2 linked regions of the Oryctolagus cuniculus genome follow. The main gene of each other region encodes a partner of the protein of the gene in region 2 in a complex. Links are inferred from orthologs where the notes say so. Each region holds a gene or a part of one and is shown on either strand. Other genes may lie near its edges.

Evidence for each region. The genes of interacting proteins can lie anywhere in the genome.
Region 1: the proteins of IRGQ (region 2) and GABARAPL2 are in contact, whole or in part, in a crystal structure (PDB 8Q6Q), measured with the Homo sapiens proteins. The link is inferred for Oryctolagus cuniculus from reciprocal best matches to the Homo sapiens genes IRGQ and GABARAPL2. Residues at the interface, in NP_001007562.1 of Homo sapiens: Asp7, Thr9, Leu11, Pro47, Leu49, Phe57, Pro70, Trp71, Glu74, Pro181, Ala182, Gln183, Asp184, Gly185, Phe186, Glu187, Val188, Leu189; in NP_009216.1 of Homo sapiens: Ser10, Glu12, His13, Cys15, Val16, Glu17, Ala19, Lys20, Ile21, Ala23, Lys24, Tyr25, Arg28, Pro30, Lys46, Lys48, Tyr49, Leu50, Val51, Pro52, Phe60, Ile63, Arg67, Phe104.

The regions. Positions count from the first base shown.
Region 1 is NC_091449.1:57,941,936-57,948,677, reverse strand, and holds the start of GABARAPL2 (gamma-aminobutyric acid receptor-associated protein-like 2), read right to left. Parts: upstream 4,606-6,742; 5' UTR 4,330-4,605; coding exon 4,296-4,329; intron 3,950-4,295; coding exon 3,894-3,949; intron 2,877-3,893; coding exon 2,704-2,876; intron 1-2,703. UniProt on the Homo sapiens protein: Ubiquitin-like modifier involved in intra-Golgi traffic. Modulates intra-Golgi transport through coupling between NSF activity and SNAREs activation. It first stimulates the ATPase activity of NSF which in turn stimulates the association with GOSR1.
Region 2 is NC_091449.1:12,314,183-12,321,180, reverse strand, and holds IRGQ (immunity-related GTPase family Q protein), read right to left. Parts: upstream 3,846-6,998; 5' UTR 3,707-3,845; intron 3,535-3,706; 5' UTR 3,533-3,534; coding exon 3,006-3,532; intron 1,902-3,005; coding exon 596-1,901; 3' UTR 460-595; downstream 1-459. Other genes in the region: ZNF576 (zinc finger protein 576), read left to right, coding at 4,701-4,785, 5,412-5,836. UniProt on the Homo sapiens protein: Autophagy receptor that specifically promotes clearance of misfolded MHC class I molecules by targeting them to the lysosome for degradation.

The DNA of each region.
Region 1 (6,742 bases), about 46 Mb from region 2:
ATCACAACCTTAACCATCACAGGTTTCCCCATGTCAAATTATAACATCCTAGAGATTTTGTTTTAGTAATATACTACAGTTTATTTTCTAAACAAGGGAGCAACAGGACTCTTATCTGCATTCTAAACGAAAGACCAAAGAGCCAGGTCTGGGTTCCCTGTAAGGCCACAGCTGGGATCCTTGTACCCTGGTGTTCTTTCTCAAGTTCCGTCTGTACCAAGGCACAGTTCCCTTCTGGTTTTCACCTGATTCTGATGCGGGAATCTAGGCAGAGAATTCAGCTTTGCAATGCTGAAGGGGAAAGGCAGCTGTGATTCCCCACAGTTATAGCAAAACAAGAACTCTGAATCAAGGAAGTGAAACAGGGATTTGCCTCGGCCTCTGTTTTGAGAATCAACATTTCATACTACCTTCACAGTAACGTGACATTTACGTGGTGAGCACCTGCGTCCCTCTCTGTAGCAGAAATACCCGAAGTCACTGCCTCTGGCTCAGGCGTAAGTGATCCCCGTGCAGACCTGCCAGTGAGGGGAGGGATGGGCTCCACAGGTCTGGACACACCCTTCTCTCCTCTGACCTTCCCCACGCTCTTTGCAGACGACCAGCACTGGGAGGAGGTTGAAGGACGCTCCTCTCTCCACTAAGGACAGCTGGAAGAGCTGAGGAAGGGGCTGAGGACTGCCTGGGGTGGCGAGGGAGAGGAGGAGGAGGAGGAGGAGCTGAGTCACACTTGAAGGGGACCCTGGCACCCTGTGTTGCTAAGGGGTAATTATATTTGCATATAGCCTGATGACGTCACATGCCTCTTTTGTTTATAAACAACTTTGTAAGAATAAAATCCTCACATGAACAAGTGGCTGCATCGGTGTGGGGTGAGAAGTCATTACTGGGGCAGAAGTGCTGAGGGGCTGGGCAGAAGGGTGGTGGCTCCAACACCCTTAACTCCGCAGGGTAGGATCTGGGCTCCTGGTAGGTTTGTCCTAAAATCCTGACAGGAGTCTACCGCATTCAGTTTCAGGGTGGGTTCTCCGCAGATCAGAAAGGCAAATGGGGTCAAAAACTGGCCGTGAAGCAGCCCTGAGAAACATTTTTCATTTCCAATTCTATTTATACCTCAGGGATACTGGGGGAGGAGCAGTTGGTAAGACTCGTAGCCATTTTAATTGCTAGACTTCTGTGGCGCCCCCGGAGTACGCTTCACGTCTCCAGCAGCCTGCTGCTTTCCTTCAGGTACTCGAGACCCAGAATCAGGAAAATCGGCTGTCGCAGCCAGGCTCCCACTTCCCCCACTAAGCTCCCACCTCCCGCGAGGAGGCAGCACAGGGTCAGCCAGACTGCAGAAGTCGCAGGGGTTCTAGGAAGACTGGCCTCCACCGCTACCTTAAGGGAAGCTAAGAGTGACCACGGTTGCCCAAGGCTTTCTCCCCCGAGGAAGAGCACCCCCAGGAACACAGTGCTGAGGCCCGCAAGGAAGAACCGACAGTGGTAAGGTCCCTCACGTAGCAGAGCAGAGGTGCCCAGCGTCTCCTCAAGCTGGATGTTGGCCTTAGCATAGAGGCCTCCGTTTCTTCCCTGCTTGCCTCGCTACCAACACTAGGAAGCAGAGTAAGTGGAGATCAGGAAGGAGGAAGTAAGACCAAAGCCAAGCTTTCCACCGGTAGCAGAAGTAAGGTCTGGAATTTGGCTTAGGCCTCTTCTGGGTATTTCAGATTTTTAAAAAGGAAAGCATTTCAGCGACACTGGTCTAGTTCTTAGGGCATCTCAAAGCTTCAGTTTTTACAATTACTACTGTACAGGACATCAAATGAAACCTTGTTTGGGTCACTAAGGGAAGATGTGGCCAGGAATTCACATTCAGCAAAAAGGTGGGTCCAGAATCTGGCTCCAGGCCTAGAAGTGCCCAATCAGTAAAGGCAATGGAGTGACCAGGAGTTTAGACTGAGCCAGTCCCTGTGCCCCATTCCAAGAGGACTAAGGCTGGCCTGTCAGTTATACCAAAGAGGGGAACTGTGACAGCCCTGCCTAGATTCAGGCCCCAAGTCACAACTGAATCCCAAAGGCGGCTTCCAGGCAGCACAGCACTGTGGCAGTCAAAGCAGGAGGTGCCGAGGCCGGTAAAAGAGCGCAGAGAGCCCTCAGAGCCTTTCCTGAGCAGCAGCCGTTTCCTCAGGCACGTCACATGCCTCGTGTTTATAAACACACTTGTAAGAATAACCTCAACTGAGCAAGTGGCTGCATCGAGTGAACTGGGGCCACAAGTGCTGGGGGCTGGGCGCTCGTCTCACCAAGGCAAAGAGCTGACGGAAGTGAGGAGAAGCAAGCAGGTGATCAATTGAAGCTGAGCCCCAGGAGGCCCAGAGCTCCTGACAGAGCAGCAGGGGCGACCTCACGGTCCCGTGAGAAACCTCGTCTGATACCTTGTTCTACCTACGGCTTAGGCCGACCTGCGTGCTCGACTATTTCCCAGTATTCTTGGGTGGCTGAGCCTGGGTTTTTCTTTTTCTTCCGTCTAGGCTTCGTTCTATTTTCTTAATCCAAAGTGCACTCCCATTTATGGCAGCCCTTTCTTGTTTTCCTGGCGCTCCTGGTGTCAGGGACCATAAAACCCAGATTCCAGGCAGATCCCGAGGCCTCCCAAGGGTCTGGTGGTGTTAAGCAGCCGGGCAGACGTCCCCCTCGGAGGTCTGTGTGGCAGCACCTCACCTGGACTGTGGGACTGTCTTATCCACGAACAGGAAGATCGCCTTTTCAGAAGGGAGCTGGATCCTCTTCCTGATGATCCACATGAACTGAGCCACAGTAATGTCAGATGGAACCAGGTACTTCCGTTTGTCAATGTCGACAATCTGGGAGCCTGAGACTTTTTCCACAATCACCTGGGAAAGTAAAGAGAAGTCAAGACTGGGTCTCTTCCCGTGAGGCTCTTCCCCCACACTGGCGGGGCACTGATGGGCAGAGTGTGGGCAAGGAGCTGGGTGGGAAACAGCCGAGCATGGCCAGACCCCGCCGGCTCCAGCAGCCACACGATCTGGACGTCAGGAACTGCTACACATCTATTATGGGGAAACAGTAAGTGCTTCTCTGTGGTCAATTAAGCCTCTCATCCTGATCGCGGCATGCCGAAGAATCAGCTACCGAGGCTTTCAACATCTCATCTGGGCAGATCTGAGAATGCCTGGTGGGTGTTTCCTGTACAGCCGCTTCCTCCAGGACCCCAGAGTGGACCCACCTCCACGCTGCAGAACTGAGGGCCCACGGACACAGCCGGCAAGCACGGGCGGGCCGCTGGGCTGCCTGGCAGGCTCCTCGGGTGGCCTGTCGCTTCTCTGAACAGCTTTCGGGTCTGTGCCCTCCCCAGGGGAACCTCTCCAAACCAACACGGACCACAAACTACAGGCGCGAATGCATCACTGACTAAAAGGAGACCCGGGAGAAGGGACTCCCCGCAGCTCTGCAGCATCCTCGGTCAGGCAAGACGACATGGTCCCCGTGCACAAGAGGAACGAGAAGTCCGCGAGCCCGACACGCAGAGTGAAAGACTGCACGTCCCGAAACCTAAGGGCCGCTTCCAGGACCACGGTGAGTCGCTCCGCCACCGTTCCCAAAAGTGGCAGTGACCTGTTGCCCTGTCCTAGAACATCGTTCCTTACGTAATTGGCCAGGGAGCCCTGGGGCTGTAGACAGCTCGCTGGCCCAGATCGGGAGATTCAGCACTGAGGCACCTGAACAGCACCAGCCCCAGCCCCTCGACCCCGGCCGGGGGACCGCCGGCCACGCCAAGCGGGGTCCGGAACCTCAGCTCACCCAGTGTCGCACGGCTGGGCCCCGTCGCCGCTCCCGGGCAGGGGACAGGGGAGCCAGCAGGGCGAGGGGGCGGGGAGTCCCACACTCACCGGAACCCGGTCGGGGTATTTCGCTCGGATCTTCGCGGATTCCACGCATCTGTGTTCTGAGAGAGAAACACACCGGGCTGACGGCGGCGCCTGCCCGCCGGGCCGGTGCCGGGCCCCAGGCCCTCGCGGTCCTCCTCCCCCGGCGACCTGCGCAAGCCCCGGCCCTCGTCCGGTGTCTCCGCGACCGCGGTCCTCTGCCCCCGGGCTCCCGGAGGAGGGGCCGCAGAGGGCCGCACCGGGCCAGGGGGCGGCTGCCCACGACGGCCCGGGCCCTCGGCGACCCGAGCCCGGAGCGCAGCATCCGCCCCGCCCGACCCGGCCCAGGGCGGCCCGAGTGGGGGAGGGGGCCCACCCGCCGCCCCCACTCCCCGCGGGCCGGCCGGCCGGCGGCCGAGAGCTTACCGAGCGAGTGGTCCTCCTTGAACATCCACTTCATGGCGGCGGCAGCGAGGGGACGCAGCCGGCTCTCGGGAGCCGCGGAGTTCAGCGAACCGACCACAACAACAACGACGGCAGCGACTACACGGCAGGCGGGACTTCCGGCTGCCGGAGCCTAGCAACTGGCAGGGGCGGGGCTTCCGGCGCCGCCCGCAGGGTCGCCGCTCCAGGGGGCGGGGCCGCACTAGGGGCGCAGGGGGCGATCGGGCTGTGGCGCTGGTGGCAGGGGTGTCTTGAGGGCTACTGGCTACTGGGTCGGGGGAGGACTGCTGGAGGACCTGTGACGGGGGTGGGGCGCCAGGGCGTTGGTGACTGATACGGAAGACTTTTGGGGGCGTGGCTGAGAGGCTAGGGCTCTTAGGGTTGTTCATAGGGGAAGTCTGGGACGGTGCTGACCAGAAGGGTATTTAGGAATATGAATGACAGAAGAGTGGTCTCTTGTTAGGGCGTTGACAGTTTGGGGGATATTTGCAGCGGTGAGGGGTGGGGGACTCAGCATAGGGGAGTGTTGGCAGTTTGAGGGCTGTGTGTGGGGAGGGGAGCTGATGACGTCCAGGGGGTCTTGCACTGAGGTCAGCCATGCTAGGTTACCTTGAATCCAGAAATCATACAGGAATCCCATTTCCTTCCTTGATCCACGAATATACGTGTGGATGCATATGGAGGGTGTCACAAATGCTTGTGTGACATCAGCGGCCACACAGCGATCCCTTAACCTTCACCCAGCAGGGAAGTTAGAGGTGACTGCCAGGCCGGAATTCCTCTGAGTGCTGGTCACGGGGCAGGTTTCCTTGTTGGGCAGTGGGAGTGGCTTAGCAGGCACAGCCGGGCCCTCTGTGTCACCTGCCTGCACGTAGCCTTGAGGTTCTCCACTCAGCGATGTGATTCCTTTCTTCCAAGCAGAGTCACCAGGGCAGGGTGTCCTGGGTCACCATCTGTTTATTAGCTGGTGAACATGTGACCGGAACATTCATCTAATTGGGCACATGACCCCTGCTACATGCTTGTGATTCTGCTGCATCCAAAAGGCCTGTGTGTTTGAATAATGTCATCCATCACTTCCTACAGATCGAATTCCCCACGGATGCTGTGGAATGCAGGGTTCAGTCTACAAGTATTTCTGTGCATTTACGGTTGCGTGTCTCAACAGCCAGAAGAGGGTTTGTTAACGAAGTGGAAAATCCTTTGAGTTTCATACTTAGAAACTGGTGCTGCCGCTGCAGCTCAATAGGCTAATCCTCCATCTAGCGGCGCCGGCACACCGGGTTCTAGTCCCAGTCGGGGCGCCAGATTCTGTCCCGGTTGCCCCTCTTCCAGGCCAGCTCTCTGCTGTGGCCCGGGAGTGCAGTGGAGGATGGCCCAAGTGCTTGGGCCCTGCACCCCATGGGAGACCAGGAGAAGCACCTGGCTCCTGCCATCAGATCAGCGCGGTGCGCCGGTCGCAGCACGCCGGCCGCGGCGGCCATTGGAGGGTGAACCAACGGCAAAGGAAGACCTTTCTCTCTGTCTCTCTCTCTCTATCCACTCTGCCTGTCAAAAAAAAAAAAAGAAAAAAAAGAAAAGAAAAGAAAAGAAAAGAAAAGAAAGAAAGAAAGAAAGAAAGAAACTGGTGTTGTGGTACACAAGCACACTCACTGCCCCAGGCGCAAGGGACAGAGCGGTGAACAGACAACACCACTGCTCCCATGGAGGCTGCATTCCCATGAGACAAGGCCAAAAATAAATATGTGATATGCTAATAAGTGCTGGTTAGAAGAACAAAATGAAGTAGATGACTAGACGGTGATGGTGGGATAGAGTGCTGACTAAAAACCCTGCCGCAAGGCAGGCTCTGTGACACAGGAGTTAAAGCCCTGGCCTGCTGTGCCGGCATCCCATATGGTTGCCGGTTCGAGTCCCAGCTGCTGCACTTCTAATCCATCTCCCTGCTAATGTACCTGGGAAAGCAATGGAGGGCTATGTGTGCCCCTAAAAACCCTGCCACTGAAAGTAAGTAAACAATGAGGATTGTATTAGGAGATGGGATCAAAGTCATCTAGAACAAAACTGTTGAACTTTGAATTTCTTGCAAAGAACTTTGGATTTTATATACATTTAGATGAGCAGTGGAGGATTTTAAGTACAGGCATAATACAATCTTCCTTTTTCAATGACCAGGCTAGCTTCTGTGTTAACAGTGGACTATGGGGGCGTAAAGGTGGAAGCAGGGAAATAGTTAAGAGGCTATTGTGAAAATCCAGGTGAAAGATCATGTTGGATTAAACCAAGATGGTATCTGGGGACATGCTGGGAAGCACTTGTGCTCTGGATATATGTTGAAGGTAGAGCTGACAAATTTTCTGACAGATTGGTTGTGAGATGTGAGGGATAAGTTAAAGTCAAGGTTTTTTCAAGGATGGAATGGCCATTTA
Region 2 (6,998 bases):
CCCGGTGAACGGGTCCCAGCCCTCCCACGTCCACAAGCCTCATCCCTGGTCTCTGGGGACCCTCGGAGCCCGCCGTGTGCAGACAGTCGCCCCCTCCCACATTTGAGACCCCCGAGAGCAGGTGTTGGACCAGTCCCTATTCCCCAAGACACCGAGGGGTCCCACCACCCCCCAGGAGTTAGAGTCCAAGGCTCACAGGACTCCTCCCCTCAGTGAGGGCTCAAAGCCCACTGTTGCCGGGAGGGGTGTGGAGCCCAAGGGGTCGGGTCCCTCTTCCCCATACGGGAGCCAGTGCAGGTCCCCAGGCACCAGGAATCTCGGCTTCTTCCCCCGGAGGACTAGACGCTCAGCCACCTCGGCTTCCGCTCCCTTGGAGACAAGATGGATACTCTCGTGGGAGTCCAGGCCCCAACTCCCCTCCCCACGCAGGAACCTGGAGGTCAAGTCCCCGAGCCCCCCAGTCTCTCCTCCCCTCCAAGCACCTGCCCCCACCCTGTTACCCCCAGTAGCCCAGACTCCCACGTCCCCTTCCCCCTAACAGGGACTTAAGATCCTAAGTCTCTCGGGGGCCAGCAGCCAGTCAGGCCCCCAACCCTCACGGCGAGGGTTCAGGGGGCGCCAGCACGGCCTCTGCATCTGCCTGCATCTCATCCAGTGCCTGCAGGAGGACGCCGTGCGCCGCGCGGTAGCCCAGGCCGCCCGTCGCCGCTGCGCCCCCCGCGGGCCACAGGAAGGAGAGCGCGCCCAGCGCCGCGCCCCCGGCAGTGCCCTCGCCCGCCCAGGCGCCCAGCCTGGCTTCCACCTCGGCGCGCGTCACCGGCCCCGGGAAGCGAGTGCGCGCCGCCAGCTCTCCAGGAGCCAGGCCCAGGGCGCGCTCACGTCTTGCCAGCGCCGCCGGTTCGAGCCCCAGCGCCCGCCTCCACTCCGCCAGCTGACCCCGCAGGAGCGCCACGTCGCAGGCCCAGCCCAGCCCTGGAACTGGGGCCGCTGCCGCCGCTAGGCTGGCCAGCAGCGCCGGCCGCCAGGCCCCGGCCCGCAGCGCGGCCGCCTTCCTCCGGGCCGCGCCGGGGGACGCGGGCGGCAGCGCCAGGAGGAGTGCGCCCGCTTGGGCCGGGGGCAGCGTGCGCTGCAGCCACTCGCTCAGTGCCGCGAGCCCGCCCGGTCGCAGGGGGAACACGGGCGGCGGCGTCTCCTCCAGCACCTCCCAGGTCTCATCTTCGGGGCTCAAGGCGGCCGAGCCCTCTGCATCCCCGCCGCCCTGCTGCGGACGCCGGCTCCCGGCCCTCTCCGGGCCCTCCCCTGCGCTTGCTGCCTGCGGCCCGGGGCCCGCTTTCTCCCTCCCGTCTCCCGGCGCAGGCTCCACTCGGCCCCCGCCGCTCAGCTTCCCCACCGTCTCCTCTTCTGGGGCCTCCGGATCCTCGCCCTCGCCATCTGTTCGCACGCAGACGAGCGCCGCGTCCGGTGGCACCAAGGCCCGGACCTGGGCCCAGTCCTCCTCAGTGGGGGCCCCCGAGGTGACCAGGATGAGGGCATCGTAGTGGGTCGGGTGAGGGGTGGTGGCGGCCAGGGCAGCGCCGCCAGCGGGGTCCAGCGGCACAACCCAGAACACCACGTTGGGGCGCTCCGGGGCCGGGAAAGGGGCGGGCCCAGCGGGCGCGGGCGCGGGCGCGGGCACTGCCCCTGGGGGGCCGGGATCCAGTCCGAGGAGCGCGTCCAGCACGGGGCTCACGCCTGCGGCGCCGGCCACTGCCAGGTCCAGCCGTGCGCTGCCCAGGCGCTCCAGGCCTGCTCGCACCCACGACAGAGCTGCCTCCAGGCCTCCCTTCTCGAAGGCCTCCCGCACGGCCTCCAGCTCGGCGGCACCCAGCACCTCGAAGCCATCCTGGGCCGCTGGCAGGAGCCTGCGGGGGTGGGGGGGAGAAGCAGAGGGCGGCGTTGGGGACAAGTCCAGTGGCAGGGGCGGGCACCCATGGTGGGAGGGGCTCCGAGCAGCCCTGGGTGGTGTCTGGTTGGCTGGAGTTCAGGTTTCAAACAGAACCCAAGACCGGGTCAAAGCTCCAACACCTCACTGGGGGCGGGGCACACAACAGGCAAAATCCTGACCCTAAGGGGAAACTGGCCCAGGAGGTGCGGCCATGGCCACCTGAGGCCGGTGACGCCAAGGACAGCGAGTCCCAGGCACTGGCACCGGCCCGCCCCGCTGAGGCTGTCTTAGGACGACCTGTTTGGCAAGGGAATCTGGGAGGTCGCCAGCAAACCAGCACAGAAACCAGAGGAGCCGGGACAAGGGGAGCGGGGAGGGCACCAGGCACCAGCAGGGCGGCGCTGTGGCACCGAGCCACACACACACACACACACACACACACACACACACACACACCTGGCCCACATCCCACCTCGCAGCCTGGCTGCTCCGCTTCTGATCCAGCTCCCTGCTAATGCGCCAGGGAGAGCAGTGGAAGATGGCCCGAGTGCTTGGGCCCCTGCGGCCATGTCGGGGACCTACAGCCTGGCTATTGCTACCATTGGGAAGTGGACCGACAGGCGGGAGAAGTCTCCCTGGCTCTCTCTCTCTCTGTGCCTTTCAAATAGGCACGCGCGCGCACGCACGCGCACACACACACACACACACACACACCTTTAAAAATCAATCAAGCTCAGGGAAGGTGTGGCCGGGGCCACTTGAGAACCAGGGCCTATAGGGCTCACCAACAAGCTGCACCAGACAGAGCCCCGGTCTGGGGGCAGTGTTTGGGTGATAAATCTGACCTCCCCCAGAACTGTCGCTAGGAAGGGGGGCTTGTGACTGGGGAGGGGGTCAGGACCTCCAGGGGTCTTGGCCCCGGGGGGCTCACTTGGGGTGCAGCCTCCTGACCTCCCCCCCCACACTGAGGGGCTGAGCCTGGAGGAGCCTTGCGACCCTCAAAGGGCACAGTGACGGGGTGGGTGGGACACCTACAATGGGGCCCAGGCCTCCCCAGCCCAGCCTGAGACCCGGCGCTCACCTCTGCAGCGCCTCCGCCCGGCTCCGCAACGCCCCCCACAGGCGCTCCAGCTCCTCGCAGTCCTCGCTGCCAGCCCAGTCCGCAGGCAGCACGAACAGGGCGGCCGCCCCCAGCCCCGCGCGGTCCAGCAGGGCAGCGGTCTGCTCCCGCGTCTGCGCGTCACTCTGCGAAGCCCCGGGACGCAGCGCCCGCACGGCCAGCAGCGGGGCTCCCCGGGCGAGGGCAGCCCGCGCCGCCTCGCCCAGCGCCGGTGCCAAGGGCTCCCCACTGCCCTCGGCTCCGGGCAGCACCAGCACCAGCACGTCGGCCTCGGCCGCCCAGGGCCCGGGCGCGGCGGGCGGGCAGCTCAGCTCGCCCAGGAAGAGCCCGGGGCCTGCGGCTCTCAGCCTGGGCACGCCGGCGTCCGGCCGTCCCTCGGGGATTTCCACCAGGTCCACACTGCTGCACAGCGCCCCGATGAGCGCGGACTTGCCGGCCCCCGGGGGCCCCAGGAACAGGGCGGTCACGTCGCCCCTGGGCGGAGGCATGGCTGGAAGGCAAGGGGGGACGGCCGGCCGCGGTCACGGGGCACCCAGACTCCGGGCCCCTCCTCCCAGCGCCCAGGCCCCCCGGCCCCCGCTCTGCCTCCTCTCCGGCCATTGCCCCTTTCTATCCTCACCCCTCCTCCCTCCCGGATCACCCGCCCGGGAGCGCCGACGCACCTGTGAGCACAGCTGGCGGCGGCCTCGCCCCTGCGGAGCTGGGCTCTGAGGCGTGGGCGCCGGGACGCGTCCGCCAGGCCCTGCGCTGACGTCACTCAGGCCGCAGAGACTCGACCTTCCTCGCGGCGCCTGCGCAGGACGGCCGCACTGCCCGAGCGCCCCTAACAATGCGCGGGCCACAGCGCCTGCGCACTCGCGCGTAGCGCTTCGGCTTGTACGGCACGGCGGCCGCAACGTCATCATAACGCGTCGCAGTGCAAGGAAGGACCTCCGAGCTCCCCCACTGCCCGTTATTTGGAGGCCCGGGTTGGCGACTGTACTACTGCCGGATGGCAACTACGGGCTCGGCTTCGAGAGGCACCTCAGGCGGAAGCTTCGGAAGCTGCGGGAACCCCGAAATGCCACGGGCCCTACCTCGCTTCCCTGTGGGTGGCGGCGCTGTGGGGCGCCAGTGACAGGCACAGCGCGAGGCAGCCTCTGCTGTACGGAGAGGAGCGGAGGCCGGGGCGACCCGCCTGGGGAGCCGGGGGCCCAAGGCAGTGCTTGCAGGACAGTGAGGCCGGCAGCGCGTGCGGGCGGCGGGGACTCTGGGTGGAGCACCCCAGGATGGCAGAGAAGCGTGTCTTCCGGGGAGAGGCAGGCTGAAGGGGTGGGTGCCGCTGAGGCTGATGGCAGTCCAGGGTCCCACGCTCTGAGTTCAGGGAGTTGGTTTGGTGCAGCGGGAACACAGGTCACACAAGCGAGCAGGCTTTAGGGGAGCCACAGACGCGGGGAGTCCAAGCCTCTAGGTTTGAGCTTCTCTGGGGACGGCTCCATCAGAAAGAGTTCAAGGAGATGGGTACATCTTGGGGGGGGGGTCAAAGGTGGGCGAGGAGCAGCTCTGTCGATGGCGGAGGTCGTGGGATTGGCGGGCCCTCCAGGGCTGGGGACAGCCGAGCGGCCTCACTCCTCACTCATAAGGGCTCCTCCCTTGACCAGAGGGGCCGCGGTCACCATGGAGGACCCGCACCCTGAGGAGACCTTGGAGCCGCAGGAGTCGCCCAGCGAGAGGCGTCCCGGCCGCCCGGGGGGCCGCATCTGTGAGTACAGGGGCGCCGTCCAGTGTCTGGGTCCGGGGCCTGGGGTGGCCCCTGAGCTGCCCTGCTCTGGCCGCACAAGCGAGAGGAGGGTGCAGCCGGGACAGGGTGGCTTGCAGGAGAGGCTCGGCGGGAGATGCGGACGGTTCAGCTCAGCCCTGCCCTTGACTTTTCCCGAGACTGGAGCCCCCGTGCCCCTGGGCCCACGGCTGCCGCTGCCCACCGCGCACGGCTTTCGTGGGGCCGCCTCCGGCCAGTGGAGCAAGGCAGGCTGACGGGGAGCAGCCCCTGCCCCCCGGGCAGGATGCATTCACCCCCGGGACCTCACTCCGTCACCAAGTGGGCACTAGGACTTTGGGTGAGAGCCGGGGCAGAGAGGTCCCGCGGCCAGGCCAGCGCCCGTACCTGCCCAGGAAGTGTCCCGGGCAGCGTGGCTCAGAGGGCAGCGCGACTCTCGGGGTCACCTCCGGGTCCGGTGACCTCGGTGGGCCTGAGTCCACTCGTCCATAATAAGGCAGGCCCTCAACGGTCCCGTCCAGCCCGCCATGGGCGTCGTGGGTGTGGGTCTGGGGCTTGGGGGAGGCCTGGAGACCCCCGGTGGGCGACCCCCGCCTCTCCGCCTCGCGCAGGCCCCCTGGAGGCCCCGCAGTGCAGCCGCTGCCTCATCACCTTCGCCGACTCCAAGTTCCAGGAGCGCCACCTGAAGCGGGAGCACCCCGCCGACTTCGTGGCCCAGAAGCTGCAGGGGGCGCTCTTCGTCTGCTTCACCTGCGCCCGCGCCTTCCTCTCCTCCGAGGCCCTGATCGCCCACCAGCGGAGCCACGGCCCCGCCGCGCGAGCGCCCCCTGCAGGTGCACCCGCCGCCGCCGCCGCCGCGCAGGCCCGCTTCGCGTGTCCCGACTGCGGCAAGGCCTTCGCGCAGGCCGGCTCTCTGCGGAGACACCGGCAGGTGCACGAGGCCCGCACCTTCGCCTGCACCGAGTGTGGCCAGGATTTTGCCCAGGAGGCAGGGCTGCACCAGCACTACATCCGGCACGCTCGGGGGGAGCTCTGAGTGCAGCCTGAGCCCTCCCCGCGGCGATGGGGGCGCTAGGGCTGGTGGGGCCCATCTAAGGTGGGGGGTGGAGGTCCCCAGGGGGGGCTGGGCGGCTAAGCGTCCCTCCCCAGGAAGGCGAGGGCTCGTGACGCACAGGACCTGGAAGATTCTGCGCTGTGGAGGACGTGGGGCCCGTAGGGAGCCGTGAGATCAGATCATCGTTGAGAGCTTTTGTTTTTAAAAAATGAGCAAGAGGGAAATTTTATTTTTATCTCCCTCATTCCCAATTAAAGAGCTAGCTGCAGATTGCGTAATCACCTTTAATTCTCCCCAGATGGATGCCATGGGCTGTCAGGGCACCGTGCCTTGGATCTGTGCCTGGATGGGGGCGGGGAAGGGAGGCGACGCTACTGGGCGAGCCCCTCTTGAGGAGGGGAGGCGACGCTGAGAGCTCACCCCGAGGCATTGCGGGGGTGGCGCCTGCAGTGGAGGCCTTGTCTCTCCCCACTCAGAGGGGCCCCGGCGTTGAAGTGGCACCAGCCGGAGACAGCTTAGGGCTCCTTAAAATAATTCTGTGAGCGCTTCTCGTCACGGAGTGTTTTCTGTGCGTGAGCAAGCTAGCAGGCGCAGCCTCTAAAAACAGGCGCCAGAGGAAGACGTCTGCGCAGGGCAGCTCCGGCCTTTGGACAAGAAACCCACCATCCCCCCAGCACACTCAGGGCCGGGAGGGGGCGCTCAGGGCAGAGCTGGCCGAGCGCTGGAGGGAAACTGGCTTGGAGTCCAACAGAGACGCCGGCTGTTGTGTTTCCTTCTGTTGCGATCCTGTCTTCAGCTCTCCCGGAAGGCCCAGTGCAGGCCTGACCGGCGGCAGGGGCAGCTGCCACCCCAGGCTGCGGATGGTCCCGTGGGGCCAGGCTCCCGCCTGCCGCCTGCCGCGCTCCGGGTCCCGTGTGGAGCGGAGTGGATGAGGCAGACTGAGAGGCAGCTCCCAGTTTGTGGCTGGGTACCTGGGAACTGGAAAGACGCCATTTCCCATAGTGCCTTGCAGCTAGATGTGGCCATGTGACTGAGTTCAAGCTGAATTCCTGGGCAGAATCCCCAAGCTTGGGAAAGGGGCCTCTCCTTTACCTTCCTAAGAGGAATGTGGACTCCACGTGCAGCCATCTTGGCCCACAAGGTC